4 linked regions of the Oryzias latipes genome follow. The protein of the gene in region 3 binds, or shares a complex with, the protein of the main gene of each other region. Links are inferred from orthologs where the notes say so. Each region holds a gene or a part of one and is shown on either strand. Other genes may lie near its edges.

Region 1 (7,293 bases), on a different chromosome or scaffold from region 3:
ATCATTGATGTAATCAGATTACATTAATAATATCCACAGATTTCAGATAGAGCCTCACGCTACAGATTCTTCAAACATGAAGGGACTAATATAAATTATTACCGCTTATGAGCAGTTTAGGTTTCACCGACTCCAATTTTATCTTAACTTTGTGCACTAGAAATGTCACAATTTAACGCTGTTTAGGCTTTAATGAAACGTTTGAGCATCTAAACCACTTAAAGGTCTCCTAAAAAATGTAGCTGAAGTCTTTATGACATGTGCAGAATGGTAAAGTCTGCATTTTTTAAGGCAAACACAATAAAAACAATTTTATTGACCATCAAATGTCCTTTAGTCATCAGAGGTTTTAGTTTTTTCTCATCTGGAAATAATTTTGGAGAGTGAGACCAGAAGATTTACTTGACTCTATTAACAAACACATAATTAAATATTACAAGTGCTTCTCCCTTCAAAAAATACCAAAGCAGGTATGAGTAAATATATATAAATGGCTTCTATTCAAGGATATGGGCTGTTGTTGGAGTCATCTGTGACATTTTTGATGCTCTGTTGGACCCAGACGCGCTGCTGGTCCAGTTCATGTTCCCTGAGAGCCAGGTCATCCAGCTCCGCCTTCAGATCAATCAGCTTATCAGCGATTTCTCTGGTGTTGCAGCCCGGACCGACACCCCTGAAACACAAGCGGGTTGCTTTCAGCCAGGCAGAGAACAGTCACATTCAAACACAAGCAGAGATAAATTGCTGTCCTCCGTTTCTAGTCTGGAAAGAAGACAGATGCTGCTGCACAGGTGAGAGGCCAGACTCTGATGGAGGTTCTCATGCCGGATCACCGCTTCCAGCGGACACAGGGGTTTGGCAGAAGACTCCTCTTCCAGACTGAGACCAAACCTGATCCAAAACCTGTGACTTGTTATGGTAATGAGTGGTCCAGAGCAGAACTGACAGCTGCGATTCAGCTCCAAGGGAAAGTACATACAAATCTGTTTTAGTACTGTATTATTTGGAGTATAAGTCTCTTATTTTTAGCATAGTTTGGCCAGGGCTGCAGCTTACACTCAGGAGTGTTCTGCAATTAAAAAAACAAACAAAAAGAAACTCCGCAAAAGATGAAAATGCACTCACTTCCACTGGATACTGTTCTTGGATTTCTTCTCTATTAGACCAATACCTTCCAGCACGTTGGTGATGTCATAGATCCGCCGTTTCTGTCGCACAGCTAAGGTATCTGCAGCCTGAACAACAGGAGAAACACTTTTACCATACAAGAAAAAGATTTCAAAAGAGAAATTATTCCAACAGTCTGTTCCACCCATCAGTGGGATGTTTCATATAAGTAATACATACAATTCCTCTGACCATAAAACATGTTCAATCTTTTTACAAACACCAAACAATGACATTCTTTCTGCTCTTTTTAAAGCGTATGTGAACTCCAATGAAACCATTTTATTAATGTGATTGCTGCTTGATTCCTTCAGACTGATAAAGAAATGAATGATGTGTGTAGTACAACAATAATGCCCCAAAAGAACGGAACATTTACCAACCAGCTTGTACCGGTTTAACAACAACAAACAAAAGGTAATGAATCCCGTTGATCTTTATCATCATCTGGGTATCAAATGCCCAGATAAATATGACTGAATTTTTTTTTTTAATACTGGAAATATGCCGCTATTTGTTACGTTTTAATCTAATTATTAATAAAAGTTCCATTTTTTGTTTTTTAGATATAAATTGTTTTGATAAATCCAATCCATTATTATTATTATTATTATTACTATTATTATTATTCTAAACCAAAGAACTCAAGCTTTGAAAGGACTTGATTAACCTGAAAATCGAGTCTTAAATTTGTGAATGTTACTCAAATTGGTTAAATGTTTTGGCCGGATCCCCAGTCCTGTAACCGGCCCGGCTTCTTGGTGATTTACACGGCAACATTGTGGAAAGTGCTGATACGTCTAAACTTAGCAAAAAGGGTTGCAAAGTGAAGTCAGTTGGAAAGAAAAAGAAAAAAAATGTGTGCACGTGCGTGGAGTGTTTTATCTGCGAGGTGCAGCGCAGCTTAGAGTATCAGCAGACACTATATCAACCCAGTCACACAAGAAGGAAATGATCAGGAAGACAGACTCAAAAAGAGAAGAAGCAGAACTCTTCATACATAATGTAATGCCTGAATGGTCAAAATGACAGTTAAGAAAATAACAAAACAGAATCAGTGTGTTGTAATTTAAATGATTTTAGACTCAAGTGTCTCTCTTCTATGACTGTTATAGAAAAATATGTACATTAGGGGGGAAACAATCAATCCACTTATTTGATAAATTGATTTATATTACTACGATCCAACCAAATAAATCTGTCTGAGGCAAGTTGCTGATCCAAGCGACCTATACCATTAAAAAAAAATCCTTTCAAAATGTAATAAATTAGTTATATTGGAAAATACCATTTGGATTGAGGCACGTTAGGTTTATTTACTATAATGTAAAATCGACCATCACAGCAGACAACACACAAGTGATATCAGCAAAAACTGATCAACCGTCATTCCAGTCCAGTTTGTGGAAAAACTTTGAATTTAGCAAAGACATGGTCCCATCCAGTGGGCTAGAATGTTCTAAGAATGTTACATTTTTTAGGGTGTATTGATCCTTTTGAACAATTCGGTTAATATAATAATTTGTGGTTGACAATACGATTTATAGTAGATATTTGTTCATTTTGAACGATCCGATTCACTGACCTAAAATAGATCCAGGACATTTTTAGCCAAAACATCAATCAGTGGGACTCAGAGAGAAATACCTGGTACTGAACAGCACAGCGGAGGTTTTCCAGATTCCTTGCAAAATAACCAAGCGTAAATTAAATAAGTGTACAAACACACAAACAAGAATGAATGGCAAATCTAGACACAATAAATCACTAATTTATCGTTATCATGATATGATATATCATGCAAAAGTCTGCAAAAATTGCAATAAATCGTAACCTTAAGAGTGCTAAAACAATCTCATAGCAGCTTGAAGTATTTAATGAATCAAATAAATTCATTTAAACATTTGACCAATCAGATGGAGCCTTTCACGTGGTTGACCAATGGGATGGAGCTCTTTTATGTTGGCCTCCTATGTAGACGAGGGGCAACTCTTATTTAAATTAAAACTGTTGCAGTGAAATGGAAATTATGGTTTTGATCGTTTTGCTATTTGTTCATGTATCGCAAGTTATATCCTCATCGCAATGTTTATCACTAATATCGCATACCGCGAGTTTTCCTCATTATATCGTGCAGCCCTAGTCAAATCCATTCACATTTTTGGTTTCATCAAGTTGCGACATATGACCACACTGTATGGTCAAAAATTATGTTTCCACACATCGAGCCGTAATGATGGTTGGTCATGCTTTGCTGCCGTCACATGCGTGTTGTCTACTGTGATGCACTCGGTTATTTTTACAGTTATGGTCAAATAAACCTTCAGAACCTCAATCCAAATGGTGTTTTCCTATATCCATATAATTGATTTATTTCATTTTGAAAGGATTTTATAATAATAAAACACGTTGACTCAATTAACAACTTGCTTCAGGTCAATCTGGTTGGATCGCAGCAATATAAATCGATTTACTGATTATTCGTAACAACCCTATCTATGGCAAAAGTGGGCTGAACTTTGACACTAAAATGGGAATTACTTGTTTGTTTGTTAAGCCATTTTATTTACATTTACAAGAAATACAAGTGACACTGTTCAGTACCCATTTATTTATCTCTGAGTCCCACTGATTGATGTTTTGGCTAAAGATGTCCCGGACTATAAATCATGTCGTGAAGCACAAATTATAAAGTGGATCAAATTGTTCAAATAAATCGTAACACCCCTAATGTAAAAATATGAAAAGTGCAAACGTTATATATTTTTTTGTATTTGTAGAAAACTATTTGAGCTTTTACATCAAACAATGTGGGACTTTAGCAGAATCCCAATAGTAAACATTCCTGCATTAAAGCTAGTGATGGAAATGTGGAAATGTGGCCCCTGTACTGTGAAAAACAAAGCTAGCCTAATTTAATCAACATCTGTGCGAGTACTACTTCACGCTTTGAGTCATTTCTGAAAAGCAACATTATAAACGCATGTCGTTCGTGGACAAAGACGCAATCAATCATAAAACAAACTTGCTCAAGTGTGAAGGTGCAGTGGCTTTAACTGAGAGTAGAATGACAAAAGCTGACCCACTTTCTAAACTTTGAATCTGCAGGGGGGCAGAGAGTCGAAAAAAGTTGACCGGTGTTCTTGAAATTCACTTCGTTTCTTCACTCAGAAAGGCAAAAATCTGCACCATAAAATATTAAATGTGATTTTAATTGTAAAAGTGGTGAACTAAAACAACAAACTTAGAAGGCAAAGCTATCTTTCATTCAAATTAGCCTGTCACACAGCTAAGCTAGGCTAGCATGCTAGCTAGATACCATGTAACTTAACGACTGCGGGCTGGCTCAAAGTGACATGTGCTAGCTAACAACAAAGAGCTCACAGCTTTCAGATCCAGGACTCCGTCCTTCGCCTCTTGTAATAAAGTGACGAACTTCGTCGTGAGCAAGCCCAGGCTCTTCTCGTGCCTGCTCGGCGTCTGCGGTTGCAGCGAGTCTCCCACGGTTCCCGGGTCGCCTCTGTTACTGGCCGTCTCCAGCTCCATCATTGCTCCGGATCAGCTCCGTACTTCCCCTCTTCTCTTGCCTGCTTTCCGACTAAATCCAGCCAGCGAGCCCAAGAAAGAAAGCTCCACCGCCGCAGTTCGAAACACACACGCGTGGATGGTGTGGTGCAAATTTACGAGTCAATACTAGCTGCTTTTCTGAAAATAACTGAGCAAAATCGAGCTGAAGCAGCGAGTATGGAAATTCAATGAAGGAGCAGTCGGTGGAGAGCCGTTGGCCACGCGAGGTATGACGGGACGGTGCTTTCGTTTTAGGGACCGTGTGCAAATGTTCATGAAAAAATAAAACCACGTAAAAAATACATTTGCTAGCACGAACATGTATTTCTAGTGATTTATTTTTAATGTAACATTGAAAAAAGTATGAAAAAAGACGGTTAGTAGTTTTTCTATTGCGATTTTAGGGGAAGTATTGGTTGCAAGAATTTTTGGTAGAGGAGAAAGTTTAACTCGAACTCTTAGCAACTTAAACTTGAAGAAAACGCACTTCCACGCGCGCACACGCAGGCACCGTTCTTCAAATGAATATTTGAAAATTATTTTCCCCTCTAAAGCTTTTCTTCCAAACCACATTGTCATTGACTGAAACATTTTCAAGGTTGCAAAGCAGTGCGAATTAGTGTACTGTGTAAACATTGGTTTGTAAATTAAATATTTTGAATTTAACTATTTGAGTTCAGTATTGCATCCTAACGACTTTATTTTTTTTAACCACAAAAATGTTACCACATAATTTAAGTTTAAAAGTTATTATAGGGGTGTAACGATTAATCGACTTAATCAGTGAAACAATTTTATATTTCTACATATTTTCTAGGGCAGTTGTTAATCTATTATCTATTCAAACTATTATAAAATCTTTTCAAAATTAAATAAATCGAAAATGTCAAGATTGGAAAATAGCATTTGGAGACATGGTAGGTTTATTTTACCGTAACATAAAAGCGACCAAGTGCATCACAGCAGACAACACATATGTGGTGGCAGCCAAAAAATAAAAAAGAATGTTACAGTCCAATGTGTGGAAACACTTTGAATTGTGTAAAGACATGTGGTCATGTGTTACAACTTTATGAAACCAAAATTTGAATGGATTTTCTTTTAATTTTTGTTTACTTGTTTATGTGTACACATCAACTCTACACTTGCCAGAAGTATCAGAGTACCAGAGTCACACTGGTTTAAAAGTTTTGGCTAAAAATGTCCTGGCTGGATTTTAGGTCAGTGATTGAACTGGATCGTTCAAAATGAACCAATATTGGCTATTAATTGTATCAGGAACAGCAAATCATGATATAAATTGATTTGTTGTTAAAATGAACCGCTACACCCTGAACTACATATCTTTAAGTTTATAAGTTACTTGATGCAGTAAAATTTTTTAATTTAACTACAAGATGTTAGAAATGTGCATGTCTTTCACAACCTCACCTTGCAGAGTTTGGCTGTTCTCCCCAGGTTTAAGCGTCCATCACAGCTGTTCCTGACTCAGTCCTTGACCAGGTTTCAATCTATGTGTGACATTAGGGATCATTAGCATTTGTTTGGTATAAATTCTCGATGATGGACCTGAAGGTATTCCTACAAAAATCTTTGATTTTGTGGAAGTGTATCTAACAGAATTGATGCAGGATTGAAGGAACAAAAGTAGTGATATTAAATATTGATTTGATTAGAATCTTTTTGTTTATTTACTGAATTTTGTTGAAAAAGGAAAATAAATTATCAACTCTCATTTGTAAAAAGCTTTCTTCGTTTACAATATTTTTCTGCTAAAGACTTTAGCACACAACTATATACTATTATATATAATGCTCAAATTCTACGTAGTTTGATGGAGTTTTTTTTAATTGTGAGGCTTTATAAAAGTTAATATTTTACACTATTATTAAATCAAGGAATGTTTAGATTCAAAACTAAGTGATCCCAATCGTGACAAAACTACGACTAAATGATCTGTAGAGGGAGACTACATAAGAAATGTTCACAACAATCTGTAAAATAATATTATTCTGTCACAATAAATCTGTTTTAACTGATAAATAATAATAGTTCCTAACATTCAAAAAAGTGCTATACTGATCAGATTCAAAGACAAACATTTAAATAAGAAACCGCGCACAGTGGGGTTTGCGAAAGCCTTTTGACGACATGCGGCTTCCGTAGGCAACGGTCAGCTGACTGGGACAAAAACAAGCTAGCTAGTTTTCGCAGCAACGGAAATCACCTCAGTATATACATTCAGGCTCAGGTAAACGTGTCTCATTAGAGATTTTGTGAAGTTTCATTGGAGATGTGTTGCACTAATTACATGCTTCGAGATTTCATTTTGGAAAACACGTTTTAATATTTTTTTTAAAGAATAATATTTGGTAGTAAACCTAGCAAAATGGGTTAGCATACATTTTTAAACGAAAAGACAGTTTTGCGTTTCCTTGGTTAAAAGCATGAGTTTTAAAACCGTTAGGTATGTGTGCTTAATTGGTGAAGCTTTATGATTTAATCTGAAATGGAAAATCATTGGATGATAAATTCATTGTTCATGTCTATGTTTACTTT
Region 2 (7,281 bases), on a different chromosome or scaffold from region 3:
CAGTTGCAGCAAGTGCTTTTCTTTTACACCTACTAAGTTGCATTTAAACTGCAGTCATTTCCATCCATGCTTTTAGTAACTTACATCTTTAGCCATGATCCAAAAGGACCGGGACAGGTATTGTTTCAAGTTAGCAAGACCTTCCTCTGCCAGGCACTATTCAAACTCCTGTAGACAAAAGGGGGGAAATGAAGTTACACGTATTTCTGTTTGAACCTAAGAAATGTTTTGGCCAATTATTTAGGCTCAGCTCAGCTATAATTTACGCTATTTGGGGTTAAATTCATGTCTTAAACAGGGCCCATTTAAGTTGCTGGACCAGAGCACACTGTGTGGAAAGCTAACCACATCACTATGTTAGCTACTCTCCTCCTCCACTACAACAAAGCTAACAGAATTATGAAGCACTTTGTACGAATCGAAACTTCCAGAAACTTTCAAGCCCGTTGGGTTTCGGACTGTGTGCGCAGAAAACCATAAAAAGTCATCCCTGGATGCTCCCAACTTTTACAGCGCTAAGTGTGCCCGAGGCCTACTTCAGGTACCAAGCACGTCCGGAGGAGAGGCATCGTCCAACTTCTGCTACAGGTCACACAAACACCCGAACTTTCCCCCAACCGGACCGGAACTGCTCACCGGGCTTCTCTAGCACCACAGTGTGAATTCAGAGAAGACCCCCGTGCTGGAAAACCAGTAGGTTCGCGACTAATGATGCCAGCAATTAACTCTTGGTGAATGCAGCTAGCGCCCCAATGCTAACAGCTAGCGATGGGTCCAGCTAGCCTGCTAGTTAGCTCCTGCACGTTTCTACACGATTCACATTTAACTCACGGATTAATCCCTCCGTGGTGCAAATTATTTCAACATCTAAAAAGGATTTAACGCCCTTTAAGTGAATGCGCGTTTCACACGGTGGGTTCGTGAATAATATAACAGACCTGTGCACTTACGAGTGCACTCTCTTTTCTCTTCGAGGATTGTTGTTATTGGCATTTGAGAATGGAGGAAGAGGAGGTCTAAATCCTGATTAAACAGGAAACAAAATAAGCGATGTCGAGTTACTTTCGAATTATATTTAAGATTACTTTAGGTTCTAAGTATTGTTTTCAACGTGGGTCTATGGCTCTTAAGTCAACTATAAATTAATGTCCTCATTTTTTTTGGCGCAATCGTGGTTTATGATGCCAAGGTTTGTCAGTTGCTTGACTGTGGCAGCTGTGCCCTTGTTTCTGACAACCCTTCATTCATCAGGCAAAGTTGAAACTAGACACAAGTGAAATACTTCATAAAAATCTGTCACAACAGAACAGTATATAAATAATATTTGAGTTTCAGCTTGTAATCCATTCTAAAGCAAAGATGTATTTCTGTTGTGGCATTAATATGCAATACGTACTAGAGTAAACAGTGTGACTAGAAAATTCATTTTATTTTTTAAATGAGTTAAAAGTAGGATGTTACGCTACTTTTAAAAAGTTAGCATTGTGTCAAACTTTTCAAGTGGATAAACAAACAATCCTAACTAATCAATAAGGAGCTTTCCTCCGAAGTGAGTTAAGCAAAACAACAACAAAGTTTAATTGTATTGAATGTTTTAAATTAATACAATGAGTAAAATTAATAACAGTTGAGTAAAAATGTAGTTTCCCCTGAAGCCTAAACGTACACTGAGGACTACAATGAATACGCGAATACACAAATAAACAACACTGGAGTTTGATCCAAAACGACAAAAGTACCCTGAACATCGACGGAACCGAATAAAGTTTGTACTTCATTCGGCACTCTGATAGCTATTAAGGGGTAATTTTCTCCTATTTGTGATTGCTGTTGATATTCGACGCTTTTGTTAGCTAGAAGGCTAGCGGACATGCTAACCCCCAGCTGTCATCTACACTTTCAGTATGAGGTGCACGTTCGTCGGGGTTAGCTCCGTGTTTCTTAGCAGTGTGTTTTCGTGACATTTATTACGCCAAACCTTTTTAAAACATGTGCACAAAACTGAAAGTTCTTACTTGAGGCGCCGAGCCACAATTCAATAAATGCAGCTTACCGGTGCGCCTTCAAGTTAGCAGTTCGTTACCTGGCCTTTTCACTCCCTTTCAGCTAGCCGTTCAGCGGAGCAGCGACTCTAACAATCTGATCTTGGCGGTGTCTCACTTTAGCGGCGTCTGATTGGACAGCAGGAACGAGACGAAACCATTGAATGTTACTACAGTCAATGGACGAAACCAAGTGGAGTAGGGGTTCAAAATCTCTTGGGGTTGTTGAACACTATCCAACTTCAGGAAAACACGTAGCGCCATCTGCTGGACTGGAATGACATGAAACTACAAGCATGACTAGTTATTGGATTCTTATTTTACTGGATTTAATTATCCTTTTAATTATTTAAGTATGTGAATGAAAGGCATCTAAAGTAAAACTCTCCCTCATATAACCTAAAAAAAATAAGACGAGCCTTGCATTACAAAACTCTGTTTATTCTGTCTTGCTATGGTTTGTTCTTCTATATTTGTTTTCTGGCTGCAATTACTGGATTATTTTTGCTGCTTTACTGTGTTAAGCAATCTTTTGTAATGCTCAACCATTCATCAATAAAAATAAATAAATAGAAAAAGGTTAACTCATGGCACTTCTGAACCCTTAATTTTTTGCAATTTGAACAATGAAACTTTGGAACATAAACTTTTATGAACACATACATAGGTTTTCTGGATAAACATTAGACGTTAAATTAGACGTCAAATTAAGTTTACATTCCCCCTATATGTGCTATAGTTGGATTGACTAGATAATTCATTGACAAATACTATTAATATTATTTTATTACTCAATAAATATCACGCTCATTGAAATAAATGGAGAAGCAGCAAACCCTCCTTGTCATGTTGTAAATAAATGAATTCAAAATATATTACCGATCATTAAAACTTCCAAAAAGAATCAATCCACAAATATCTGCTTGTTATTTTTTTTAGTTTCCTTGTATAATTTTTTTGTCTCCATTTTACAATCCTATGTGAGAGATTGTACATTACAGTGTGTTGTTGATTTATTCAATAAAAAAAAAAATTGGCACTTCAGAAAGTAACAAAGACCTTTGAAAGATGACAGCTGAAATGCATAGTTTGAAAATTAGTAAACATTAATGTATGTGTTTGTGCATGTGTGAATGTATGTGTACCTGTATGATTGTGTATATATATAAATTATATGTATTCAGAAGTAAATCAATTGAATGTTTTTTTTTGTTTGTTTGTTTTTTTGATGGGCTTCGACAAGCAGAATGCTTCAGCCCAGACTCCTTGGGTTAATAAAGATTACCGGTGTTGTTTAAATTAATTACACCAATTATTATTTTTCATTCCCAGGTGTTAACGATAAACCAGGAGGACACATAATTGAAAAAAGGTGAGGACTGTTACAGTTTACTTTTTTTTTTTTTTTTGTCTGACTCCAAATCCCAGCACTCACCTTTGGCATTTATTGCATTAGGCGTGATAATAAAGGCATTCTATTCTATTCTATTCTATATCTACAAACACTGCCAAGTTAAGAATTTAATGCAGTCATAATTAATTTGATAGTTTTCTATCTGCAGTGGTGTGTCTATTTGGCATAGTTCTCTCCAACTGCATTTTTGGAGGTTTGGTGTCGGAATTTTTGTCCTATAATCAAAGTAAATTCCTAGCTGGTGAAGAGTTTAGCAATGCTGAGTTTATTGGGTGATACAGAAAATAGTGCTTTCTTTAAACTCTGTTGCGAGCTGAACATTTATAACTATGTCTTAGGCCATCTTGTTATAGTAATTTCATGTTACAGCCTACATAGCGACATGGTCAGAAGTCAAACATTTTCACTAGAAAATAAAATAAAATCATGAGCAATGACAGAAATTTTCTTAGTGGTGTAGTTTCCATCATCAAAGACATCTTTTTTCAAAGAATGTTTGCTAGATTTTAGTTGATGATCTATCATCTTCTTCTTAATGTTCCAGTTCCTCTTGAAAAAGTAAAAACATGTTATTTTTGTGATTGTTTTAAATAATTGAAAATGTTCTTCTCTAAAATATATAAGGGGGTAAGACCCACAGCATGCAGGTCACTAAGCAACAAGATTTAGGAATTTGGCATTTTATTACAATGAAAAGCAATGTGTTTCTTTGTTTATTTCTTTTTTTTTACTCCATTGTTCATTCTTTTTTGACACACACACACACAGACACACATGATGCGTTTACTGTATACGAACATTAACATGATGTGTTTCAAGAACTACTGAAACACATCTCAAATAAATCTTCTGCATTGGGGCAGAAGCGGGACATGAAGTCACCTGTGCTGATGTGATCCACGCTGGTCTCCAGAGCCAACAGGATCAGCTTGAAACACCTACCAATGTATTTCTTTGAGGTCCTGAGACAGCACACATCTCCCTGAAGGTTCTGGGGGACTCCTTCCTGTCTGCAGGCGATGTGAAGGCAGGCGGATGCGATGGCGACGTTGGCGCGCCCCTTCAAGCTCTTCTGCTCACAAAATTGGTGGAATAAGTTGTTGGTTTTGTCTGCGATGTTCCTAGGGAAGTTTACAAAAATGTTCATTTAAATACATGAAAAAAATGTTAAATGTCTGAAGGACTCGAACAAATAGGTAGAAAAACAAAAAAAGAAAGTTTTTAGTAAACATTACATTCTATTAAACATCTTGAAATTGCCACGAATTGGTGTTACACTGTTACAGTTCATTACAGAGGAGCTTCATTCTGCATCTTGCGCATCAAACAAACTGCGGCAGCATGGAGTAAAGAAAGCTGCACATTCACAGATAGGTTATCAAGGGCTCACTGTGTGCTGAGTTATTAAAACTTGTTTATGGGTGGACTCATTTCTTTATAAGATAAAACCGAGCTTGGTTCTTCGTCTGCTGAACTCAGATAATTCTGTTTTCTCGTGAAAGAATCTCTAACATACTAAATAGTCCATAAATAGCTTTAGCCCTCACTGTACACCTAAAAATAAGTTATATTGTGTTATATTATATTTAGTAATATTATATTATATTAGTAATATTATAATAGCTGATGAAATTATTTTTATGAATGGATTGAATGGATGAAAAAGAACATTTTGTTGAATATTCATATCTATTTGATACTGTTGTGATCTAATATTTTGTGCTAATTCTTCGCTTGTTGAGAGTTTTTAGAGGTTCCAAAGTTAGAACTTGTTGGTCATTCTTTGGTTATCAGGCTTCTGTCCTCTAGCTCCAGTTACCACTTAAAGTTTGGTGTCAGACAAACCTTTTTTATCTTTATCATTAGGCTAAAACTGTTCTGTTTGATAAAGATGGTGAAGCTCTGTGTAGTCACACAGGCTCATTTTAAAACACACAAAACAGTTTCATAAATATTTTTGAAAATGTTCTTTTAAATGACTTACATTCCTGGTTTGGCACTTTTGTTTCTCTTCTCTTCTGTCCTTTCAGAATAACACCTGAAGATGGGTGATTGACCTTCACTGGTTCTGCTGGAATGTCCCCAAATTAAACAGAAGCCCTTTTTTCTTGTGTTATCAGCTAATCCTTGTATAATCAAAATAGGAGAAAAGCAAACGACAGGGAGTGTGAACTAGACTTGTGAATAATACCTTTCTACTTGGCTCTCAGCATTAAAGATAATATTAATAATAATATTTTAATAATAATTAAAATAATAATTATAATATAAAATAATAATTATAATAATAATTTAATAATAATGTTTTGTTGTTTTGTTTTTTTTTGCATTTCTTTCGTAGACGACTGACATGTTTTTTATTCTTGTTAACATCCTAGGCACTTTAACGTTGGGAGTTGGGTCAAGCAGACCCACTTGACAGTGTGTTGAACCTTTTTCCTTCAATGATTTGTGATCTTCACTGGTGTCCATGGATTACATGAAATCTTTCCACCTTTATCCACCTTTGTCATAGTAGGGAGAACACGTCAATGTAAGGGGGGTGGGGGGTCATCTAAGATAGCACAAGGGTTAGAGGTAAATTGGGTTCTGGACAGACTGGATGGTGAACATTGCTCGTGCAGAAGCCGCAGCTGCTCTTCTTCGGAATCCTCCGATTGCTGCTCAGCAACTTCTTCTGCGCGTGCGCATTCGGAGCAACAGTCGGGCTACCAACCTGGTCAAACAGCGGGTGTAAAAATGGTAGGTAACCAAAATAAACACAAACCCGTGCAGTGGCTTTCGTGCCATTTCTGTTTTCTATTAACAATATTACTATAAGACTGCACTACATCACGGGCTACGTTTAGGTTAGCCTACACGCCTTAGTTTCTTATAATCGCTGCTGTTACCGAAGGTCAGTAGATATTTTGAGAGCAGCTAGCATTAGCCACACTCCCTTTTTTGGCAGTCAGCTAACTTCGACTGTGACTGGGTCAGCCGCTGGACCTTCATCATGATGGACACGCATAAACCCCTAACATAGCCTTGAGCTCACTGACATTGTCCTCTGTTCATGATTTCATTAATGTCATTACCTTCGGGCTAACTCGGCTAACATTAGCCAGTGTAACTTACTAGCTCTGTGGGTATGTTGATGCTAACCCAACGTTACCTTTCTGGTTGCACAATAATCCTTACTGCATGGATAGTAGCACTCCATTGGGAATTATTTCAGGTTTTTTTGCGGATTTATTAAAAATGAAAGATGGATAAATGAAGTAATTCTCGGAGTTTCCCGATGAGTCCGAAATGTTGTAAAAGCTCAGATGCTGCAGGCAGGCAGCTGGTTGGAGGACATGCTGACAGTTGAATGGAGGCTTTTTAAAAGTAAAACTTTTGACTTATTGTATTTCTTTTCTGTCCAAAATTTCATATCTATCCAGGCTTGAGCCATAGAATTCCAAATATTGCATGATATAAACAAGACGAAAGCTTTTGGAAGCAAAGTATTTTGATAAATTAGATTCTGATTTGTTTTCTGCACTGTTCCTACATACATCAGGGGTGTCAAACTCCAGTTCTCCTGCTGGTTTTGCAAAAATTCTGCCTCATCTGCTGTTGATTACCTGGATCAGGTGTGTTTAGCCAATATGGAGCTTCAATGGCAGGTTGGTTAGAAAACATGCAGGACACCAGCCCTGGAGGCCTGGAGTTTGAACCCTGTGCTATACATCCATTTCTTTTTAAAACAAATGCTATTTTTGGCACGGTGATTGTGTTACGCAGAATCCAGACTTGTTGCCCCTCCGGGTCCTTGTGATGGCATCCCATTTCCATCCTCAT
Region 3 (8,465 bases):
AGAGCAAAACACAGTTACTGTAGAGCTTTCATAAATTCAAGGCACGGTGTGTAGATTCTGTCAGTTTTCCTCTTCTGTAACTCACTGTATCGATTAGCTCCATGGTTTCTGCAAACTCTGGGAAGGTTTGGAGGTTGGAGAGCACGGCGCCGGCCTCAGCAGCCAGAAACTTGCTGGGGGAGATAGGAAGATGTGCTTGAGGACCCGGTGGGATTTCAGGGCCCCTCCAGGATCCTTCTTCCAATCGCTCATCCAGACTGCTGTTGCTAGATGCTAAATTGTCTTCTGGTAAACTGCCTGACCAGGCTGGGTATGGCTTCTGAGGACAGGAGAAACAAGAACAACCCATGTTTGGTTGAAAGAGCAAAATAAATCCACACTGTTGTCATACTTGAAACTGCAACACTTGGGTGATTCTACACAAACACAGGAAAAACCACTAACTGCGAAGATGGAACTCGTGATGTATTTGCAATGAATGAAGGGTGGAAAAGGAGACAGTGGGGTCAGAATAAAAACAAAAACCAGACAAATAAAAGGCCAAAGCCAAGTTGCTTGCCGACAGATTATGGTGTGAAGATGGAGAAGAAGGAGGAATGGGAGCGGCTTTTCATCAAACCACATTATCTGCAGAAAGGAGTGCAGCTTCAGCCCATTCTGGGTAAGCAGTGAGATGGGGAAAGGAGTTACTATAGCAACACTACAGCAAATCAGGCTACAGGTTTTCACACATGGGTACCACTCTCGTTTTGAAGTGCATACACTGCAAAAAGAGCATTTTTGTCATCAGGATAGTGATATATTAACAAAAAAAAATAATTTAAAAACTATTTTAAAAATTGAATGCCTTGTTTAGATTAGGAATGCCTTTTTACAGTGTATGCAAGCTACAAACACGCAGACTAAGCTGACTAACGATGCCAACACACATCTGAAGTGTGTTCTTACACATAAACCTCTGCACTGCACTTGTCGTTGAACTTCACTCTCTGCTGACATAAGCAGCAGCTCAAGCTCCTTTATTCTCTGTTCCCTGTGAGGATCATCAAGGCAGGACTGGAATACACAAACGTCAGGAAAGAGCGGTTGAGGGGAAAAAGAAGAGAGGCACAAGTTATGGTAGTTAACAAAATAATCAGAAAAACACACACAAAGACACAACAAAATTGACAATTAATATTTTTCTGTTAGCTGAACATGACAGGACAGTCAAGTATTTGATTTGCTTGATTTGTCCAGAGTTAGCAATCACAAGTACAACTGCAGAGAGAAAGAATAGAACATAAAGCGTTCCGTTCTAGCGTGCAAAGGCAAAGAAACACAGACTCACAGATGGGAAGGCTGGATTTTCAGGAAGACTGTTAACTGTCTGTTCACTTTCAGGATCAAACTGATAGTCTGCAACCTGAAAAACGGAGAACTGAAAAGGTAAAACAGAACAGAAAAGCAGATTCTAGAAAAATGACGAGAAGACTAAAAATCCACGGACCAGGTTGGATCCTGCAGGAGCCACAGGGCTGCAATCGTGCTGCTGGAGTTTTGTAGTAGATGTAGGGCATTGCCTGTTTAGGCGCTTCTTCACAGTAGAAGTGAAAGTCTTGTAGCTGTCTTGGAGGTAACCCTCATGCTCCACCTTTCTTCTCATGGTAGAATTCCAGTGGTTCTTGATAGAGTTATCTGTGCTGTTAACAAGAGGAGGTTTTTTAGGCAAACTGCTTGCTTTAAAACCAAACATGCAACAGTAGTTTCAGATTACCGTCCAGGGAGAAGCTTGGAGATCTCTGCCCAACGGTTGCCAAGGCGTTTGTGAGCTTCGTAGATGATCCGGTCCTCCTCCTGTGTCCATGAGGACTTCTTCACTTCTGGGTTCAGGTGGTTGTGCCATCGCTCACGGCACTGTTTTCCAATCCTTCCCTGGAGGTGCTTTGCAATCACTGACCAGCGCTTCGGCCCATATTTGCGCACCAAATCGATAACCTGAACAAATCAAATTAAAAGTAGCTTAGAGCAAATTGACTTGTGATCCTTAATCTTAATGATAATAATAATGCATTGGTTAAAAAGCATAGAGAACAGCAGCAGCAGAACTTGTTGAAACGTTTTTCTCAGAGCAGAAAAATGTTGTGAAGTCATAGTTGGCTGACTGCACTTCTATTTATAAAGTATGATGTCAGAAATATAAAGCATGAAGACGGACAAACTAAGCTACAGTTGAGGAGTGTAATGCTCATACAAACACACATTCAACTCTAAAACTACAGAATGTCTGTTTTGGTGTATTACACACACAAACTAATAGAAAAAGAACGAGGATAAAGTTAGCACATTTGCAAAACCATGTTAGATTGAAGCTAAAAGTTGCATTGCTTTTTGTGTCACCCGTGTTTCCTCCTGTACCCTCCCCAGGGTTTTCTTCTTTCCCCCTATCATTTTTCTCCTCAGTCATCTGTCCAAAAGAGACACTCCCAGCTCTTCTTACCTTTTGATCTTCTTCTTTTGTCCAGGGTCCTTTCACCAGCTCTGGATTGAGCACCTTCTGCCAGCGGTGCTGACACTGACCATCTGTCCGCCCCTGAGTCACAGGAACACAGAGTGCAACACTTCATCCCACCGCAGGACCGGCTACAACCGTTCTTGATGGAACCGTAACCAGGTGGACTCAATACTTACAGGGAAAAAAGTAGCTACTAGTTTCCATGCCTCAGTTCCGTGTTGCTCCACGAGTTTTTTCAGCTTTTCATCCTTTAATTATGAGTTTAAAAAGAAAAAACTGATAATTCCACGCTTTCAGCAAACATTTTCACAGTGTGCTTTCATTTAGCAGGTGCATAAATAAAAAATATGGTTAGAAATGTCTTCCAAAGATGCATAAGTTTCACCTTTTTTTGGTTTCTATAATAAACATACCTCTTCTCGTGACCACTTTATTTTGCCCAGTCTTTTTTTATCATTGCTTTTTTCTTTACTCTCTGGATCTGTGGACACCAGCTCTTCATCCTCATCAGTACTGAAAACACAACAGGAAAAGGGGAAAAGAACCATAATCATGTTATTATTCTCTGTTCTAATACCTATTGTTTCCTCCTAACCCATTCTTAACATGTAGACCTAAATATGAAAAGTAGCTGTGAAAGTTAACAACTTTAGCTAAAAGAAAATTTATCATAAGCAACAACAAAAAAAATGTTTTACTTCCATTTGGAGTTTTGAAATTTATAAACCAAAACCTGGCAGCAGGAAAAGATCATTGGAGGATGGATTAGGGTTAACCTTAACCTTGATAAACATCTTAATGAAATTAGGCCTACCAATTAAAGGTTCATAAATAATTTAAACATATCATGGGAAAAGCAAATGTGCAAGTATTTCCTAAAATTCAATATTGAATAAGTTATTTTCTTAACACATAAGAACCCAGATCTATTTTCCTTGAAAGAAAATGATGCAATATTTAATGTTTTGCTGTTACAGTGAGGTAGTTCTACAAAACAGAACTAACACATGTTCTAAAGAGCTGAAACGTGCCACCCACAAATATACTAAGCAGTTGTTTTCCGTCTTTTTAGTGTCAGAAAGTCCATGAATGTCTGTTCTTTACTGTGCAAACGTGTCATTATAAACCTAAGTCTGGCCAAACTTCTTCACTGGGGCGACTGTGTGTAAAAACAGAAGGGAGGGGTGTAAGGTGACAAGCGGAAAGGGGCAATCTCACATCAACAGACTCTTTCACTAGCAAAGTGCATTAGTGTGTGTGTTTTTAGGTGTGATGATGTGGCCGCAAAAGCCCACATACATATTTTTTTTCATTGAATTCAATTGAATAGCAATAAAAACTCAATGAAAAATTAATTTGCATGATATAGAAATGCATTTAGAACTACAGTATAACCTTTATGTCGCACGTGAAGGTTACCGAAATTAATTAAATTAAAATTAAATTTAAAAAGTGAAAAGAAAATGTAATATTTTGGCATAACACTACATGTGAATTAACTATATTTTTTATCTTAAAATATGCCGCCATAATAGTGTCAGTGTTGTTACAGAAACTTTTTTATTAGACTGTAATCGTTTATTTTTATAAACAAACGCTAAAATGTTAAATAATGTCAGTATATTCATTTATTTTTAATTTCTATTAAGTATAGAAACAGGAGAAAGGTAGTCGACGAGCTTTGTGACGTTTGAGTATTAATCAGTCTTACCTGCGTGATTTCACTTTGTCCATAACAGCCGACAGCAGAACCGAAAGTTCTCGAAGACAACCCTGTGTTTGGCAGTTCTGTGGAATAATCGCGCGTGAACAGGTGTCTCTCCATAAAACTGCTTTTTGGTCATGAACGACGTCTTCTGAGATGCGGCGACTTGGCGTTTCGGCTAACCAGCTAGCTAACTCCACGCAGAAGAACTCATAACATTACCCAGAACAGGCAGCTGTCCATGAAGATATCATCTCTAATGAAACGCAAACCAACGGTCGCTCTTTATCATATGGGCGCCTCTTACAGATCACGTTTGAAACGCTAGAAACCAATAGTATGCCGACGGGTGTAAATAAAATTCTTGAATAAATTGTCACTGCTACCGCACCTTCCGCTCATAATGTGGGGCTTCTGTACGTCTGCATGGCGTTATAGAGTTGGGTTGGTTTTTTTTGTCCATCCCGCCGATTCTGGCGCTCAGCTCTCTGCGCAGGCGGCTTCGTTCCTGATTGGTCAGAATTAGGGCCGTGTAACACGAGGACTGATACTCAAAACTGATTGGTCCAAATGAGGACGACGAATCTACGGCTGAATGGTCTAAAAGTCCGCAAGGTTTTTTTCAGTGGTCAACGTTCTAAAAGGCGGGTGCTTAAGGTGACAGTGACAGAATAAGCATATTCGGTGTGGGAACACAGTTTACACAACTTCTAGTGATGATAAATATGGTCTGCATTGATGTAATAATAATAATAATAATAATAATAATAATAATAATAATAATAATAATAATAATAATAATAATAATGAGTTTCCACAAATATACCTGAAACCAAATTGCTTGAAACAATTTGGCTTACGGTTTATAATTAAAACATAAATATGAATAAAACATGAAAAACTGTTACATCCATTACATCTCTTCAAGCTGACATTCAGTCTAAACACGTCATCTTACTGCCACCTTGTGGACACAACGTCCATCTGCAGTTGTGTGATGGTTTCCATCACACAACTGCATTTTTTCCCACATTAAAAAAGGTTTTCCTATTCACACCCTGATCTTTATCCTAAAAATTTGCAGAAATATCAAAAAACAGAGGGGAAAAAAGTCTAAACTTCTAGGAGTGGTTTGTCTTTGGGTGACACGTGTAGTGTTAAATTAACCCGTTTTTATTACAAACTAATATATGGAGGGAAAAGCTGATATTAGAAAATGGTGATGTTTACTTAAAAGCCTGTAGATGACTGTTTCACTTGTTGATGCAAGAGTGTTGTCATTGTAAAAAAAAATGCACGGAGCCGGAAGTTGATTACCTTACAAAAATAAGAGCACAAGAAACTTTTGAACTTAGAATGAATAAATGTGTCCGTCACTTTGATTCCAAAATCTACTAAACAACTTAGAACTCTACAATTATTATAAACCTATTTTAGTCAAACATATGCTATTAATTTAAATGACAATGTTATCTTTTAGCAGGATATTGATTTTTAGTTTTAGGATCCAGGTATTATTGAGAGGGAAGAGATAATGTGTTCAAGCTGCATGTTGCAAAAAAATTAAAGATTAAATAAATTATTTATTTGATACAGAGATTGTGACAAGGAAAACAAATTTAACAGGTGGCCAAAAATAATCTCAAATACACGAGAAACATATCCAACCACATCTCCAAAAACTACATGTTAAAACCAGTCTGTGTGGGTTAATCCGGTTAGTTATAGATAAATAAATTTTTTTTGTAATGCACTATGGCTACAGTTTGCAAACCTATTTACACATGGTTTGAAAGAATCTGGAGGTAAACAAGATGGCACAGGTATTTAAACTTAAATTTTGTAATGAAGGTCAGATATGGTCCTGGAAAGTCTCAGGCACATTTCAAGTCTTCATCTAAAAAAAATCTCTGTGAACATCTGAGATTCTAATTTTTTGTGAACAAAGAAATGTGTAAAAGCTTTAGTTTTAGCTAGAACACGTATTAGTTTGTGGATTTATTAAATTAAATTATCTTGTATTTGTTAGTAATCTTTACATTAATACCAATTACAAGTTTGTAATTTCAAAGTGTTGGGTGCTGTTGGTATTTGTTGACATCATTAATTGCTTTCTCTATTAGGACTTACACTCAAATGTTACACTTGTTAAAAACTCATTGAATAATTATTTGATTTAGGCATACCTATTTTTAAATTGAGGTTTATAGTTTGTGAAATATATGTAAACTGTATTATTATTATTATTTACGGTGGCCCAGAAGGGTCACAACACAACACAATAACTTACCTCACAATATTTTTGTAATGAATAAGCAATCTGATTAAGGTGATCACTATTAAATAATAAGGTGTTTTGTGAAACATTTTCCTCCAATATTGTTGTATTGGTGTAAACATTGTCGAGCATCAGTTAGAAGCAATAGTTTGTATTTAAGTCGGATACTCTTGCAGAAACCAGCATGTTTTATTCAATGTGAACAGTATTTCCACCGCTCATCTGATCATATCAAAGGTAAATTGGGACGTTTCGTTTTATTTTGAAAATCTGTATCGGAAGTCCACATCGCCGGGGATGTGCGGTGGATGCAGACTTTGTGGTCCCGTGACAAATTCATTGGAACTTTCTATGGTAAGGAAAGACCGATGTTTCCTGCTTTTGTCGTGTGTCAGCGACGAGACTACAGCGATCAGGTGGAGAACTTTCCCAACGTTCGGTCTGACGGGGACCGGATGAGGATGGCTGGAATGACGGTTAAATAACCCAAACGAAAACCACCCTCACCGGAGCCGCGAAAATTATTGATGGCTGGCATTGGCAGAATCAAAATACAGTAAGGTACGTGATGTTCACCTTAACGGCTACCTTTGTCAGTGATTGCTGGCGTCCCGCCGGCTAGCTAATTTGTAGCAACAAGAGGTGTATTTCAAAATAGAACCCCAACTGTTGTCAATTATTCTAAGATAACTCGCCGTGATTTATTTACGAAACTTTCTCGACGTTGAGAGAATTTGGCGTTTAAAAAAACTGCATTAAAAGTAAGGGAAGCTAGTTAGCTTATTTAGAAACGCCAATTGTTTACGTTAATGTAGTGTATAGTTTTCACGTGTGTGCTTGTTATGGTAGTGATAGATCTATTTACTACTATTATTTACCGTTTGAGGCCCCTCCTTCCTCTTCAAGATCGTTTTTCCCTACTTTAATTGTGTCACGTGACCCTTTTTTTTCTTTTTAAAATTGTGCCCTTGGCGCTGCCCACACAGTTTGGGTTGGGAATCCCTGTAAATTTAGTAGACTGTTCTAAAAAAGTAAAGGAGAAGGCTGCATGTAAGGACTGTGTTTGGGTCTGTTCTAATGAGTCAGCACCTTGGGTTTCGGTTCATCTGTGAAATAGTGACCTTTGCGGTCTATTTTTTGTTATTTTTTCTGCTTTTTAAAGCACATCTTTACTGATAATAGACGTGTGTTTTTTTTAGGGACTTCCTTGTTTTCTGGTGGGATGTGGAAGTTTTTAGTGACTTAGTCCTCCTAGTTCCACAGGTGGTTTGGTGTCAATAAGCTTTCATAAAATGCCAACAACGTCCTGCTTATTTTAAGCCTGAAGGATTAATTCACACTTGGCAGCGTTTCTTATATTCCATGTGGTCCGTCTCAGTCCAGCTGTGAACCTTCTCAGGATAAATTAAACAATTTTAATACCAACTAAAATGTTTGCTTGGCTAAATACAAACTAATGTCCTATCTAAAACTAAATAGAGAATGATGTTGAGCTGAAAAACTACCACTGAGACACAAAATGAAAGGGAAAAGAAATGCTGCTAAGGAGTGGACATTCCAACATTTTTTCTAAATGAATAATTCCAACCAAAGCTTCTGCAAGAGTCTCACATTGCAATAGTAGTCAAACTTGCTAAAAAAATAAAAATAAAAAGTAAGTTGTCATTTGTGCAGAACCTGATGGACAGTTTTCAATAGGGAAGTCTGTGTGTTTATGTCAGTTTGTTTGGTCTGGATCACTTCAGGTTAGAGAACGGATTTGGTTAAAAGCTGAGGTCAGCTGCTCTCATCCTGGTTGACTGAGTTCGTGCTGATCAGACTTTTAAATTCCCACACCAATGAAAATCGTGTTTTTTAACATGTCCTTGTAACATTTGATGATGGAGGACATATATAAAGAAAATTAAGTTTAAAACAGCATTTCTGAGTATTTCTTTATCCAAATCGTGGTGAAAAAATACAGTTTGAAAAAGCTTGTTTTTGTTGGT
Region 4 (7,280 bases), on a different chromosome or scaffold from region 3:
ATTATTTAAATGAGTCCAAATAATTTTTATTTAAACTCAACTTCAAAAAAATTAAATAAAATGTATCAAAATTTATTAAGACAACTTGTTTTAAGATTCTCCTTTTGTTCTAAAATGAGTAATTTCTACTTATTACAGTTTTATTTTGTCACTGTAATGAAAATACAATTCGGTTCATTAAAACTGAAAATAAACCATTTACTTAAAACTGGCAAAGAAATACTGCTTTCAATAAATACAAGAAAAACCGTCACCTGGACTGTTCAGTACCTGATGTTTCTCTCTGAGTCACACTGGTTAAGCTTTTGGCTAAAGAGGTCCTGGATCGACGTTTGTTCAGTCAGTTCAAAATGAACCAATATTGACTGGGAATCGCATCGCAACCACTAATTATGATGTGTATCAATTTGCTTTTAAAAATGCATTGTTATACCTCTAATTTTTTTATATACATTCTTCATCATGACTAAAATGCCACAAGGACAAGAGTGGGTCTTGAGGTTCTCACAGTCCTGCTAATGGGAGTTCAAAGGTCACAGTAGCAGCCTCTGCGCTCAGGGTTACCTGTATAGTCTTGAGCTGCTGGGTTTGCACTGCGGTTACTTGGTTGCCTCCACTCCCCACCACTGGCTTCAGTTCTGACCCCCCAGCAATCGTGACCACTTTAAACTGCGGAGCCGGGGCCTTGCCGTCTCCTGAGGCCTGGACCACGCCGGGTTTGCTGGCCGCATGCGGCAGCTGCAGCACTATCGGCTGTCCTGACTTCCCTATGGTCGTGACCAGCAGCTTCTGTCCTTCTTGCTTGATGACCTGCGGCGGCGGCCCCGCAGACTTTGCAGCCTCCGCAGCTTGAGACGAGGCCACCTTGTTGAGGATGATCTGATGGTTGACGGAGGAAATGGTGAAGGGAGCGGTGAGCTTCTGTAAGCCGCCCGTGGACATGCTCGTCCCGGTCACGCTGTCCGTGGTTTTGGTGGGGGCCGTGGAGGTGGCCAGGCCCGGTTTGAGGGTGACCAGGCGCGACGGGCCGCTGGAAATGAGGATGGAGGAATGTCTGCTGGGGCTGAGCGTGGAGTCCGTAGGCGTTAGCTGGGTTTGGGAGTTACCCGTCGGCGCCGCGTCTTCGGAGACGCTGGGAGTTTGCGGGACGTCCGTTTCCATGGGAACTGTGGAGTCGTAGCAGGGCTCCGCCTGGACCGCGGCGCTGTCGGGCTGAGAGTGAGGCGCCTCCTCCATGGCCTCCGTGTCCATGATCTCATCAGGAAGGAGGCTGTTCAACTCGGGTGACACCACGTCCATGTTTGCAGCGTCTCCGCTCTGTCAATCCTGGAGAAACAAAAAAAAAAATGACAATGCTGAAAAATAGAAGAAAAAATATATATACACATCCATTTCAGAACCTGCTTAATCCTTTAAGGTCACGGGGGTTACATACATAAGCCACCCCAGCTACTGTTGGGTGAACACCACACACATGCATTCCCAACTAGAGGCAATTTAGAGATACAAATGAACCTCTGTAGCATGTTTTTGGAGTGTGGGAGGAAGCCAGAGTGCCCAGAGAAAACCCACAATGCACAGGGAGAACATGCAAACTCCCCACAAAAAGGATCCAAACTAAAGTCTCCTGACTGAGTTGAGAGGGTCAACCACCGCACCACCTGGGAATATCCTTTTACTTTTTTTTTTACTGTGTGTGAACGTTTGTGTGTGGTGCTGTGATGGACTGCAACCCCAATGTCTGCACAGGGTGAGAGTAAAGGTGGATAGATGGATGGATGCTGACAGATTTAGTCTTTTCCTCAGACTGTGAAAGGTGCTCTACACATAAAACTTTGCCTTTTACTGACAAAAACGCATCAATTTAGAGAATCTCAACAAACTGACTGCAAGAACAGACTATAAGAAAAGTAAACACAGCTAGCAGAGGTGTGGAGGTAGCCACACATAACATGGCCTGATTCTCCATGAGATTTGAACTAAACGTTTTCTTAGAGAAACTTCGTTGGCGAGGGGAGGGGGTTCGGAAAATGTTACAATAAAATACAACAAATTCTGTCAAAGAGGGAACGTTTAAGTACATTTGAGCAGAGATCACAGAAATGAGATTGTTTTTTTTATGGATTAAAAAAAAAAATAAGACAATCAGAAGTACAAAAACAATATGTCATTTAAAAAACAACAACATTTTGATCCAAGACTCCGTGTATTTCTGTTTTCTGCAGTATGGATCGTATCTCCAGTTCTGCAGACTCTGTGGTCTCAGCCTCCATAGTTTGCTTAATTTAGTCAAAATTCACCTGTGCATTAGTCGAAGCATCTCTGCAAATCTGCGTTACTCTTTACTGAGAGAGAGAGAAAAAACCCACGACCCACATTCCTCTCTGTCAAGTCACACATGTAGGAAATGCATCTTTCTTAAAGTGGCTGCACCGACCGCTAAATTTAAATCTCCAAGCTAGCAAAGTTAACAAAAAACAAAACGTATTTGGAAAGTTTGTTTTGGCAGGAAAGATCCAGAGAGGAAACAGAAAACTGCATTTAACAGACATAAACCAGGAGTCTTTACTCCAAATGTGGATTATTGTAACCCCCCCCCATAAACACAAACACACACACTAATAACAACAACAATATTCAGCAAAAGGCTGTCTAATGTTACGAGGACGCTGCTAATAAAGTTGTTCAAATGTTAAATTTACATTTATGTTTAGAAAATATCAGTTTCAGTGACTAAAGGTCAGACGAAGCTGAAGTTGGCGTCTTCCACTTCGACAGTTATTGGTTCAGGGAAAATCTATTTCACATTTTAATGATTCCTTCAGGAAATTCTGTTTTTACAGAGGATGAAGATAAACTTTACCCTAAAAAATAAAACAAAGCTGGGAGGTAAAAGAAAATCTGACAGCCACTTCAGCCGCAAACAAGCCTGAAAAATGTTGGGGACCAGAATGGAGAGGAGAAAGAAATCCCACAATTCAGTGTCGTCACAACATTGAAAACAAAACAATAGACACCCAACAATAAAAGTCCAACTCCAATCATCTTCTGATCTATTCTCAAAGTGTTCCCAGTGGTCTTGTACTTATGATTCTGCCGTATTTAGCCAATAATCCAAAAACTACTGTCATTTCCTAGGACATAGTTCCTGCAGAGCAACAGGAGTTAATCAGAAAATCACCTCAGAGTTGGGGACTGAACCACTGGTGGGGGGGGGGGGGGGGGGGGTGTGTTAAGCCTGCTTTGACTTCCCATCATCCCTTTGTTTACACTCTCTCTCCTTCTGGCTTACAGCCCCTCACACCCCCCAACCGAACATTGCCAGTGCAACAAGAACGATGAGCAATATTGGAGCAATCCAGCCGTACAATTCTCAGCCAGTAGTTGTAGTTTTTTTAAAGGTTGAGTCCATCACCGTAATAAAGATTGCGTGATAAATGCAAATGGAAAGATCTCCTTTTATTTCTTTTTTTAAATCCTCTCTGGTGTTTCTCAACGGAGACACCCCAAACCCCACCAAGTCACGCCTCTGGTGCAGGAGTCCCGGGATGTGCACATCAGCTGGTTGTGACAGAGGCTGACAGCTGATGGTCTGTTAGGCCGCAGCGGTCCTGTGCATGGCCAACTCAACGCAAGCGCGCGAACCCTCCCCGAACCTCCCCCCACGTCCACCTGAACTCCTCCCCTCCTCCTCCCCCGCGAGGAGGCGGGCCCAAACCCGCTTTCAGTCAGAACCAGAGGGAGGGGGTCTAACCGAGGACATGAAGCAACGGGGGGGAAAGCGTCTACGGTCTGCGTTACTATTTCAGGCCGGCGTTGGATTTCGAAAGATCCGCCATTTTTACCTCGTCATCAACTCGGTTAGCTGCCCTGCTAGCGCAGAAAAACTGACAAAAGGTTCCGTTGAAAGCGGACACGCCAGCCGCCGGAGACACCAAACGGAGAAGATTCACGGTGAAGCACAAAGGCATTCCCCCGAGCTCGAGGGCAGACCCGGGAAATCCGGGGCACGCGCACAAACACCCGGAGCGGACTCTGTGACAGTGTAAACAATGCTAGCTTCCCACAATTCCTCCTGTCAGTTTGGATTTCTCTCGGACTGCAACACCTAGAACTCAGATGAACTACTTTTCCACAAAAACGTTGGTTGTTTTCACATGTTTAAATTTGTTTCCGGTGGTTAATAAATGTCCCCTTTTTTATTTTTGAAAAAAAAAAAGCTTAGAGTTTAAAAATGTAATTAAATTGATTGTAACGTAGGCTTTAAAGATAACTGAAAAAACTACTAAGATCACTAATTTCAGTTCAATTAAAAAACAACGAAATAGTGGCTTAACACCCCAAACCAGTTGTGTTTTTTGTTGTTGTTTTACCTTCATTAGCAAGCAGTTAACAGCGTATTTCTGCCCCAGCGCACGAAAGTTTTTTTGTTTTATTTCATTAAAAAAAAGCGGAAAACGTCAGTGAAAACCCGGTTCCTCATCGGCGGCTTCATCTTCATCCAGCAGGCAGGACAACTCTCCTAGCGAAGTTGCTGAGCTGGCTAACCCCAGCTAGCTAGCACAACATTATACCTCAACATTGAACAGCTTCCTAAGTGCGCGGCTTTCTAGTGCAAACGGTGCGGTAAAGTTCACAAGGCGGTAACAGGTAATCGTGCTTACCCGGGATTTAAACGCTGGGTAGCGTTTCCAGTTAAAGCGAGGAAAGGTAAAAGCGATTGTTCAAAATACCGCGCCGAGCGCCATTCCTCCCTGACATTTCACAGGCCGGCCACGCCCTCCTCGCGTGACACCACCGTGACGTAACTCTTAAAGGGACAGGCCCCCTCATTCATCTGTCCTGAAATTTTATTCAGAATAATTTCAGAAAAAATGTAATGTTTTTGATAATCAGCTGTTTTTTTCAGAAAATGTCAAATTCACAATTGTAAGTGGTCTAATTATCAACCTTTTTTTTAAATTTATTTCATCTGGACTTTAAATTATATTACAGTACTACAGAACACGTGAAATCCGAAAAACTGCAAGATTTTTTTTAATATATTGTATTTGATTTTATGACTTATTTTATCTTGAATTTTTTTGTATTTAATATTACAGACCCACTCCGATGAAACTTGTTTTTTTAAGCATGTTCTTGTGGCATTTTTTCTGATTAAGGAGGACAATTAAGCTCAAAATTGCATTTTTGTGTATTTCTTTATTCATTTTGGCGTGAGTCAGGGGCAGGTTAAAAACCTGCAGTTTGAAAAAGATCACATTTGTGACGTCAACTTTATGCTGGCCACAAGTTCCCTGCTCTATTCCCAGCAGATGTCTTTGTTTTCCTCATCTGAGCTGGTATCTGGATCAAAACTGTACAGCTGGATAGCTCCAATGTTGCTCACCATTGTCATTGCCCCCTTTAATATTAGGTTGGGGGTGTGAGGGGCTGTAATATAGTGGGAGAGGAGGCAAAAAGAGAGCTCTCAGTTATTGGTGACAGGAAGGAGGGTTGCTCAACTTCCTTTGTCTCACCCACAACTTAGAGGCAAATTTCTAATCATCTAATGGGGGGAAAAAATCTGTTAATATTTTTAAATACAAGTGTTAATAATAAAAGTTTTATTTATTTAACCCACACTTTTAGGTATCTAGAAATGTAAAGAAATATGTAAAATGAACATAAATAGAGGATTTCCTGCAAAAATGCACATATAAATGCTGAGACACTTAAAGTTAGGAAAAAAGCTTCACTGACGGTTGAAAAAGGAAACAAAACTTTGTAACAATTTAGTTTAGATCATTTGATGAAATGAAACAGACCTCATAATAGAGTTTAATAACTTCAATTAAAAAAAACTCTGGCAATAATTTAAAAACACTGCTGCAATTTAAAAAGCCATTAGATGAAAGATTAATGCTAATTACATAATTTATTTATTTTTAAACTTAAGTATTGACATCAAACAAGCCAAAAGAAATGTGTTAAAAATGATAAACAACAACTTCAAAACCAATTATTTTTTAGTTTATCGTCTATATGGGAAGACTAAAAAAATATCTACAAGTTTGTATTTTTTCTAAAAACATCTGTTCAAAATTGTTCAAAATATTACAAAATTAAAAAGGTAACTTTTATTAAAACAAAAAAATTATTTGTACGTGCGCGCTTCCGCGGCCGTTTACGTATCGGGAGCGCGCCTGTCTCAGCTCCGAAGGACGCCGGTGTTGTTGACGCGCCTCCACACTGGCAGGAATGGCGGCCGAAGTGAGGCAGGAGCTCGCGCAGCTCATGAACTCCAGTGGATCTCACAAAGATCTGGCGACCAAGTACGTAGCGTGGACTCCGGGGGTAAAGAGATGCGATCAAAACAGCGGGACGTGTTTGCTTTAACGCCGTAAAAACCGTCCATCAGCAGCGGGAAAGCAAACGAGAGGCGCCAGCTAAGCTAGCTTAGCCGTGTAGCTGTCATCTTAACCGTTGAACTTTATGAAAAATATTCATTATTTAAGGATTTGGATTCGCCTTTTTGAATTAATAACAAGCGATACAATGTCGCGAATGTTTCTTTTAGTTTGTCACGAAATTCGGCTCATTTTAGGAGCAAGAAGAAGATGTAGTTTAACTTAACTGCTATGTTCTGATCATGAAATACATTTCTTCTTCACAGATTTAACTTTTAAACAATTCATATGTTGTTAAAATAACATTGAGGCCTGTATTACTAAGGCACATGCAGCAAAAACGCGGAAGGTGAATAATTCAGAGCTTTTCGATCCAGAGTATTCATTTAATCCCTTTTTTATGATATTAATTTACTAAAAACAGCAACAACAACAAAAAACCGTTGTGATTCATCCAAATCTAATGAATCCACTAAGTTAAAAAGAAAAGGTTCCAAAGGTTTAATCAGCTGAAAGTTTATTTTTGTGAAAGTCATATTTACAAAGAATGTGTCTGGATCCACCTTAGAGGGTTTTTTTCATGCAGAGTCCTGGTTCTGGTTCTGGGTTTGGTTGCAGGTAGAACTGGGCGTGACACCGGGACCCGCGAGTCCTGCAGCTGATGATGATGAGCTTTAGAGGAGGCATCTTTGTGATGCCTTCAGGGAAAACCCGCACACATTAAGCCTGGTGGTGTAGTGGTTTGCCCTCTCGCCTCATGGAAAGGAGGTTCTGGATCGAATGCGCTCTTCAGTCTAAAAAGATGTTTCATAGGTTAACTGATGACTAAACGGTCCCCAGGTGTGAACGTGGTTGTGTAGCTCTGTGAAGAACGTGTCCAGGGGGCTCAGC

Evidence for each region.
Region 1: mybl1 (region 3) and e2f4 share a complex: the UniProt entries of both Homo sapiens proteins name them as parts of the DREAM complex. The link is inferred for Oryzias latipes from reciprocal best matches to the Homo sapiens genes MYBL1 and E2F4.
Region 2: mybl1 (region 3) and tfdp1 share a complex: the UniProt entries of both Homo sapiens proteins name them as parts of the DREAM complex. The link is inferred for Oryzias latipes from reciprocal best matches to the Homo sapiens genes MYBL1 and TFDP1.
Region 4: mybl1 (region 3) and lin54 share a complex: the UniProt entries of both Homo sapiens proteins name them as parts of the DREAM complex. The link is inferred for Oryzias latipes from reciprocal best matches to the Homo sapiens genes MYBL1 and LIN54.

Annotation. Positions count from the first base shown.
Region 1 is NC_019864.2:28,151,452-28,158,744, forward strand, and holds the start of e2f4 (transcription factor E2F4), read right to left. Parts: upstream 4,797-7,293; 5' UTR 4,717-4,796; coding exon 4,552-4,716; intron 1,236-4,551; coding exon 1,126-1,235; intron 674-1,125; coding exon 512-673; intron 1-511. UniProt on the Homo sapiens protein: Transcription activator that binds DNA cooperatively with DP proteins through the E2 recognition site, 5'-TTTC[CG]CGC-3' found in the promoter region of a number of genes whose products are involved in cell cycle regulation or in DNA replication.
Region 2 is NC_019879.2:10,684,715-10,691,995, forward strand, and holds the start of tfdp1 (transcription factor Dp-1), read right to left. Parts: upstream 4,797-7,281; 5' UTR 4,692-4,796; intron 4,578-4,691; 5' UTR 4,399-4,577; intron 2,217-4,398; exon of another isoform or gene 2,054-2,216; intron 1,079-2,053; exon of another isoform or gene 637-1,078; intron 169-636; 5' UTR 97-168; coding exon 85-96; intron 1-84. UniProt on the Homo sapiens protein: Can stimulate E2F-dependent transcription.
Region 3 is NC_019878.2:17,042,701-17,051,165, reverse strand, and holds the start of mybl1 (myb-related protein A), read right to left. Parts: upstream 4,696-8,465; 5' UTR 4,663-4,695; coding exon 4,591-4,662; intron 4,283-4,590; coding exon 4,206-4,282; intron 3,008-4,205; coding exon 2,908-3,007; intron 2,743-2,907; coding exon 2,671-2,742; intron 2,573-2,670; coding exon 2,480-2,572; intron 1,978-2,479; coding exon 1,757-1,977; intron 1,683-1,756; coding exon 1,490-1,682; intron 1,406-1,489; coding exon 1,331-1,405; intron 1,057-1,330; coding exon 949-1,056; intron 320-948; coding exon 86-319; intron 1-85. UniProt on the Homo sapiens protein: Transcription factor that specifically recognizes the sequence 5'-YAAC[GT]G-3'.
Region 4 is NC_019870.2:2,880,985-2,888,264, forward strand, and holds the start of lin54 (protein lin-54 homolog), read right to left. Parts: upstream 4,797-7,280; 5' UTR 4,665-4,796; intron 4,625-4,664; exon of another isoform or gene 4,374-4,624; intron 4,268-4,373; exon of another isoform or gene 3,846-4,267; intron 1,327-3,845; 5' UTR 1,300-1,326; coding exon 565-1,299; intron 1-564. Other genes in the region: cops4 (COP9 signalosome complex subunit 4), read left to right, coding at 6,241-6,314. UniProt on the Homo sapiens protein: Component of the DREAM complex, a multiprotein complex that can both act as a transcription activator or repressor depending on the context. In G0 phase, the complex binds to more than 800 promoters and is required for repression of E2F target genes.